Caenorhabditis elegans: one gene and its partner. The protein of the gene in region 1 purifies or fractionates together with the protein of each later gene. This does not show direct contact. Each region holds a gene or a part of one and is shown on either strand. Other genes may lie near its edges. The genes, in order: car-1 and cey-2.

Evidence for each region.
Region 2: the proteins of car-1 (region 1) and cey-2 purify together in Caenorhabditis elegans (affinity purification with mass spectrometry, with the first as the bait; 2 studies listed by BioGRID). This does not show direct contact.

Annotation. Positions count from the first base shown.
Region 1 is NC_003279.8:12,902,580-12,906,619, forward strand, and holds car-1 (Protein LSM14 homolog car-1), read left to right. Parts: upstream 1-1,890; 5' UTR 1,891-1,896; coding exon 1,897-2,142; intron 2,143-2,192; coding exon 2,193-2,382; intron 2,383-2,434; coding exon 2,435-2,878; intron 2,879-2,925; coding exon 2,926-3,068; 3' UTR 3,069-3,461; downstream 3,462-4,040. Other genes in the region: coa-5 (Cytochrome c oxidase assembly factor 5), read right to left, coding at 580-870. UniProt on the Caenorhabditis elegans protein: Transcriptional regulator. Involved in modulating embryonic expression of ATP-dependent chaperone cdc-48.1. May play a role in mRNA gene silencing, and RNA granule (P-body) assembly.
Region 2 is NC_003279.8:5,617,683-5,621,412, reverse strand, and holds cey-2 (CSD domain-containing protein), read right to left. Parts: upstream 1,845-3,730; 5' UTR 1,812-1,844; coding exon 1,689-1,811; intron 1,646-1,688; coding exon 1,335-1,645; intron 1,288-1,334; coding exon 918-1,287; 3' UTR 745-917; downstream 1-744. Other genes in the region: F46F11.7 (Tenascin), read right to left, coding at 140-231, 297-367, 410-515, 564-625; xrep-4 (F-box domain-containing protein), read left to right, coding at 3,000-3,030, 3,081-3,151, 3,223-3,327, 3,376-3,455, 3,521-3,617, 3,701-3,730.

The DNA of each region.
Region 1 (4,040 bases):
ATTTATTCTTCCGCTGCTACTGGGTAGGCAACATTTTTATTTCCAACTTTTTTCGACTTTTTTTTGTTCCAATTCCGAGTGTTTCCCTGATTATCGATCGAAATCCCCCAGATATACGATTTATTGCAATTTCTTTAATTTTTTCTGCGTTCCTTCTCTTCTCCCCGTCACTGCTTTCGTATTATTATTACTGTTCCTATACATGATGAAATAAATATACACGTTTGATTGGGTTCTTTGCTTCCTTTTTTGGAAGTTTTTAGAACAACTGGCAAGAAAATGGCGAAGAATGTGCGAAATTTCGGATTCAAGTGGGCGAAAATTCGAAAATTTCGAATTTTTTGACAAAAGTCGAGAGTTCCGGAGTCATATGGCAGCCAATTAGGCGAAAAGTTCAATATTTTGCGGGAAATTCCCAAAAGCCGAATCCACAGGCCCAGCTTAGCGATACGATGATAATTCTCAAGTTTTTAACACATTCTTCCTGGAAAATAGATTTATACACGTATTATATTATAGAGAAAGCTGAAATCCTAAAAAGAAAGTAACAAAAAATATGAAAATTTTCGAATTATTCGCTCAAAGATCGCCCTTCCTTCCTCGGAATCTCGATCTCATGTCCACCAGTGATCGCTTGCAGTCGGTGAAATTTTGGAGAACGGCGAAACATTTGTCGGGTACACTTCCGTCGCCACGTGCATCGATGCATTCCTTCGCAGATCGAGCTTGAACTTGCACACAATGCGAGTTTTTGATGCATTTTTTGAGTGCTTGACGTAGACGATCACACGATACACCGGTCTTCTTTATCTCGTTGAATTCGTCTTCTTCAAATTGTTGGGATTGGGAGTGTGCGGTGATTCCGGCCATTTTTCGCGGGAGTTTGCCTGAAAAATCGAATAAAAATTGATTTTAGAAGATATAACTAGTTTTAAACAATAAAATTTAAGTAAATTTCAGTCTTTTTCACAATTTTATCACAAAAAAACGAGAAAATTCAATAAATTCGCACAAAAATTGATTTTATTTCATTTAAATTTTGAAAAATAATTAGTGTCGATTTACGGAGTTGGCACGGTGCCAAGATTTGCAGAATCGTGGCGAGACCCACAAAAACCTATAGCAAAACATGCGCCTTTAAATGGGATTGGGGTGCAGCGCCATTTTAGGATTTTTGTTGTTTTCTTCGCAAAATTGTTGATTTTTCGTTATTTTTTTTGATTTTCTAGGGAAATTTTCAATGTTTTATTGCTAAAATAATTATTTTTGACGTGATGAACTTAAAGTTACAGCTTAGAATCATTAAATTTTGCGAATTTTGATAGAAACTTCCCATTTTTTGTGATTTTCAAGTTTGAGCTTACCTTTTATTTCTTCTGCCGATTTTTAGCTGTTTGAGAAGTTCAATTAGTGAGTTTTCGGTTCTTAATACTCAAAATTATTTTTACTGCAATGGTACGGCCGTGGCTGCGCAGTACCTCATAAAATAAGTGGGCAGACGGATGCAATCACGCTCCATCGGCGCAGAATCGATAACGATGACGGCTTCGCATTTTACTTTTAAACTTTTGCAGCTTTTCCCACTTCTTATAAGAAATTAGGGCTTTAAACTGTCAGTGTTATCCTTGTATATTATCGTTGATGTTCCTCTAAGACTTATTGACACCTCCGTATCGATTTTAGGCCAATTAGGTTAATTTCTAAGGTTTCTCGACACAATTGAGATCGCTTCGACATTTTTCGTAGTATTCCGCAAGATTTTGTTTTAGGATTGATAGAAGCGCACATTTACACGGTTTCAGTTGTTAATTTATTCTCCTATTCCCGACAATATTGCTCTTCGTCTTTCTTCAAACGTTGTGAAACTTAAATTATATTACATTTTTGCAGGTAATAATGTCGAATCAAACACCGTACATCGGAAGCAAGATTAGTCTGATCTCCAAGCTCGACATCCGTTACGAGGGAATCCTCTACACCGTCGACACCAACGACTCTACCATCGCGTTGGCCAAGGTTCGCTCGTTCGGAACCGAGAAGCGTCCAACTGCTAATCCGGTCGCCGCTCGTGATGATGTCTACGAGTACATCATCTTCAAGGCCAGCGACATCAAGGATTTGATCGTTTGTGATACTCCGAAGGCGAGTTGCCGGATAATCGAGCTTCATTGATCTAAATAATGTCTTTTCAGATGGCCAACATTGGAGGAGGGCTTCCATACGATCCAGCCATCATCTCTGTCTCCTCGAGATCAGCCCCAGCAAGTGACGGAGCTCCAGCTGCCTCTGCAGGTTCTTCCAGAGCCGGAACGCCATCCCGTAACAGTCCGTTAGGCCAAATCATCCAAAATCAACGTCCAGGACGTGGAGGTTATCAGCAAAGTCAGTTTTATTTTCTTTCAAATCAACTCTGGATTTATGATCATGTTTTCAGACTTCCAAGCTAACCGTGGATACAACAACTACCGCGGAGGATTCGCTGGCGGATACAACAACCAAAGAGGGCACAACAATTATGGAGTTCCTCGAGTTAATCACCGCGAAAAGCTGAAGTTCGAATCGGACTTTGACTTCGAGAAGGCCAATGAGAAGTTCCAAGAAGTTCTCGTCGACAACCTTGAGAAGCTCAACATTGAGGATAAGGCCGAGCCAGAAGTTGAGGAGAAGAAGGATGCTGCCTTCTACGACAAGAAGACTTCATTCTTTGACAACATCAGCTGTGAATCACTGGAGAAAGCCGAAGGAAAGACTGGACGGCCAGATTGGAAGAAGGAGAGAGAAACGAATCAGGAGACGTTCGGACACAACGCAGTGCGTTCGTTGAACTACCGTCGTGGATTCGGAGGACGAGGACGTGGTGGAAACCGCGGATATGGAGGTATAGTTCCACTTTAGAAGTTACAACGTCTTATGCTCAATTTTCAGGTTACAACAACGGATACCAGCATCAACACCAGCACCGTGGAGGATACAATGGAGGTTATCGTCAGAACAACGGTGGATACCGTCGTGGTGGATATGCTCCACGTGACAACCAAGGCAATACTGCCGCAGCTGCCGAACAATAAGTTCGAATTCCCTGAAATTGTTTTCTCCCCACATCCCCATACCCCGATATTAGCCGTTTGTTAATTTATTATGTAAGTTTATCCATTCTCCCCCCCCCCCCATCAATGATTACCCTTGTCTCTTCTCAACTATTGGCGTGTTATAAGAAACCCGTTAATTATTTAGAAATCTCGTACGATTCAATGCGGGCCTTCTGTTATTTTGTAATAATTATTGCGCACCCACCCACCGACACACATCTCCCATCCAAAAAATTCCCAATGTTTTTTCTTCCCCCACTACAATAGTGATTGGACCCTTCCCCCGTTTTTTTAAGTTCTAGCTTGTGAATTTTAAAGCATGTCGTTCTGTTGTCCTCAGTTTGTCATTTTAATAAAATTGCAGTGACTAAACTGTCAAATCGTTTGCACCTGCTCTCCTATCATCCCACACCCCGCCTTTTATGATTGTCTTCTAGGAGATATGAAATTGTTTTTAAGATCTTCTCTTAGATTTGCTATAATATTGCAAACCCTTCATTCTTAGGTAGACAAGCCCTGAGAAATTGTGATTTCCCCGTATAAACTTTTTGTTTTGTATCATTGCTTCGATGTTTTCTTTCTACAACTTGGAAGCCAGTTGGACATGTAAGGTGTCAAAAAATATTGGTATAAGTTTGCTGTAATTTCAAAAAGTTCGATAGTTGTTCTGGCGACTAAATACGTAAAGAATAGCTAACAAATGTTACTTTATAAAAACTATTCAGCGAAACTGATTGAAGTGAACACATTAAAGAAATAAATTAAACATTAAAAGAGAAAATACATAATAAAATTATTCCTTGGTGATCTCGAACTTCCAGGGGCTAAAGTCGATTTTGACGCTATGCCCTTTGAAGAGACAGCGAATAGTTCCCTTAACTCCTCCATCTCGGGAAATTTCGAATCCAGAGGCATTCGGATCGAAAACTCTCGCAGCGTCCAAACTCATAC
Region 2 (3,730 bases), 7.3 Mb from region 1:
TTTGAAGCATTACTGTAGTTTTCGCTACGAGATATTTTGCGCGTCAAATATGTTGCGCAATACGCATTCTCAGAATTTCGTGTTCCTGTAATATGTACGAGAAAACTAGTTTTTAAAACTAATTTATAAAAATACCCACTATTCAAAATGCACTGCCCGTTGACGCATTTTCCATGTTTTCCACAATCGGAGACTATGCTTCGAGCTGAACCTTCAGCTACCAATACGTGTCTGAAAATTGTGTTTTATTTGCTCTGACAAGTTGTTATCATTCCTTATTCAGAAATTAACTGTACCGATTGCATTTCACTGAAGTGATTGGATAACATTTTCCTTCAGAACAAACGAATCCCTCTCGACATTCTACCTAAACTAAACGTTTTGAAAATATTCATCAAAACTTGAAAACCTCGAATGAACAGAATGTAGATGGGGATTTGTTCCTACCAAAGCATTGCTTCTCTTCACAAGTAAATCCAACTGGGCACTCATACTCACCGAAAACAGGCGGACATCTGAATAGACGAAATTGTATTTCTCACTATTGCTCATGATTCGTTCACCTTTCTGCCGCAATGTGCAAAATAAAAGAACAGAATAAAAACAGTCGTCCTATGCGAATCATTGTACGAAACTAATCAATATGCCGAATAAGAATTGGTGACCTATTTTCATCAGAGATATCTCACTGATAAGATTTGAGAAGCTGATATGATGAGTCATTGTTATGAAATAAACATTCAATTTACCGGTAAACGGTTTTATTGAGAGGTTTTCTCATTACAAGCTGAGGCAATGTGGCATTGAAGAACAAGAGGGATAGGGACTTACAATAGCATGCATAAATTGGGAATATGATAAAGTGTACTATGTATATGTACAAAGGTACAAATTTGAGAAATAAGCATTAATGGATCTTAAATCTGAGCATCGATTGGCTGGGCTCCTAGGCCGGCTTCTCCAAGTGCAGAGTCGCAACGGTCAACCTTGGAAAGTCCAGCTTCCTCTGTGATGATCTTGGAACAAGATTTGGAGTCTGGAGAAGCAACGTCAGAAGCAGATTCGGAAGATTCAGTGACAGCCGATGAATCAGCGGCATCACCAGCTCCTTTCTGTTGGGCCTTCGACTTGCGATTTCTGTTCTTGCGTTGCTTTCTTGGCTTTTTCTTCTCAGCATCCGCCGACATCTCCTGTGGCTTGGCATCGGTCGACTGGGATTCCTCTCCATCGACAGAAGCTCTGGGCTTGCGGTTCTTGCGGAAGCGAGAGAGAAGCTTGTGGCGGTATCTGTAAAATAGGATTTAAAAACTTCCATGGTCAATATAAACCCTCACCTCGATCCAATGACATTGTCTCCGTTGGGTCCTGTTACGTTAGCAGCTTCTGGGCCATTCTTTCCCTCGACGAGATCGAAGAGAACCTCTTCATCGTCCCCGAGGGTACGGAGGTAGAACTTTTCAGTGGCTGACTTGGCAATGGCTGTCTGGTGAACAAAGATGTCCTTTTCGCCATCGTTGCGAGAAATGAAGCCATAGCGACGGAGAACAGAATACCATTTCACTTTTCCTTGAAGTCCGGTGGTAATGGCTGTCTTCGACTTCTGCTCTTCTTCCCACAGACGGATGCGCTCAGCAGTCGGCAGACGCTAAATTAAGTAATTACTAAATTAATTTAAATGTGTAACATACTCTTTTACGCATCTTCTCTTCGCTGTTGCTTGGCGTTGTCTTATCTTGAACAGAGAGCTCTTCGAGCTTCTGCTCGAGAGCTTCCTCTCCGATTTCGACAGCGGCGTTTGCGGTGTCCGACATAGTCGTAAATTTGGTTGAAGCAAGTGAGGTTGACTGTAAGAGGGTAACTTTTAATAAGTCATTAAACAAAAATTGGGTAAAGATTAAAAAGAATATTTAACAGAAGCTATGTGCTCATGCTCAAAAACGTAACCAAAACTAAAGTCGAAAATCAGCAGCAAAAAAATTTAGAAATGAGAAAAACAGCTCACGGCGCGTGAACTTCAAGCTGCAAAATCGAAATGAATGTTTTGGGCCGCGCATCTGCGAAGCTAATGGGTCCCGTACTACAGTAACCCGGTAACCTGCACATCTAACTTCGCGCGGTGTTTCAAACGCAATGCATGGTTAGGAAATTCCTAAACAATTTTTGGATTCTTTTCGTCAAATTTGTATCAGATTGTTTTGCAATATGCTATTTTACTATTTTCTATCATTTTGTCATCACTGTCTTGAATTTTTAAACGATTGTTTAACTGATTGATATGGATAGTATTGTTGGTATTAAATAGTTTATAATAATCACTGAAATTCTAAAATATTTCATTATTTAACATTCCCTCGTAAAGCGTATTATGATTTTTTGAAAGTTACGGAATTGAGATAGAAAAAATGGAATTAAGTTCTAAAGTTTAGATTTTCTCAATTGTTTTCCAGTTGTTTCCTATTGTGACACTCCTTAACTTTCCAATTTAAGGGAAATGTCTCTTTTTTATACATTAAGAGATTACTTTAAGAATATAAAAACGCTTTAGGCCCCGTGTGACAATCTAAATGTGTTTAATCCTGCCTCCAATTAGTACAACGAGTGTTCATTATAAATGTTCAAACGAATTCGGAATTTCTATTTCCAATTTTGTTTTTTTAATGGTGACTTTAGTTAATGTTCTCCGTGATGTTGTTCATGCTTTCTAAAAACTAATGTACTCTGCCCTTTCCAGAAATTGACGTCATAATACTCGCACAGTACTCTCAAAAAATTGATTTTCAAATCGTCCATTCTCTCCAACTTCATTTTCTATCCTCCACGTCTTTTCTGTGCATCCTCATTTTATATTGTGTTATTTTCATGTCTCTGATCGACCTGCGCCATTGATATTCTTTCTCAAACGGCCTCTCTTTACATCTCTGGGTCTCTTGCCTCTGGGCGTGAGGTTCCCGTTTTTTCTGCCGATTTTCTTCTCTTTCCGCTGTTCCATTCTACTCAAAATGGCACTGGAAGAAATAATGGATTTCGAGGGTTAGTTAATGCTTAATAATGAAGATAAATCTGAAATTGCCAAATTATAGAAGAAGAGGCTGGATGGAAGCACTTGCCACGAGAAATACGCAGAAATATTCTCACTCGACTACCATTCCCAGTAAGTGTTGCGAAATCATTTTGCTCAAATTTCCATCAAATCAGTTAGATAAAGAAAAAATCCGTTTGCAGGATAAACAAAACATGATGTTGGTCAGCTGGGAAAACTCTCAGATATGCTCAACTCTTCCAAATAAGCTTCACGAACTCGGAATTACGGAGCTTCCCTCTACAGCTGTTAGTTTTAATTGAATTACTTTGTTTATTCAACCCAGTTATTTTCAGAAAACTATTCTGATAATGAAATGGAAAAATGAGATTGGAAGAGTTGTGAGCAGAATGGTGGAGTTTCGAGGAACCTCACTGTGAGTATTCTTTGTTCAAAACTTCAAATTAAAAGAGAAAATTCAAAGTCTTAATAAATGTTCAGACGTCAAACTGAATGCCCCGATCATACTGCAGAAGCTATGCGAGCGTTTTTACGTATTTGGAGATTCTCAAAAATTAAGAGTATTGTCATCGAAATTGTAAGTTGTGGTAGAGATAGATTGGTTTAAACCATGGCTTATCAGCTGTAGTATCAGCTAACAAAAATTCAATTAATTTTCAGCCATGTTTCGAAGGATTATCAAGCATCTGG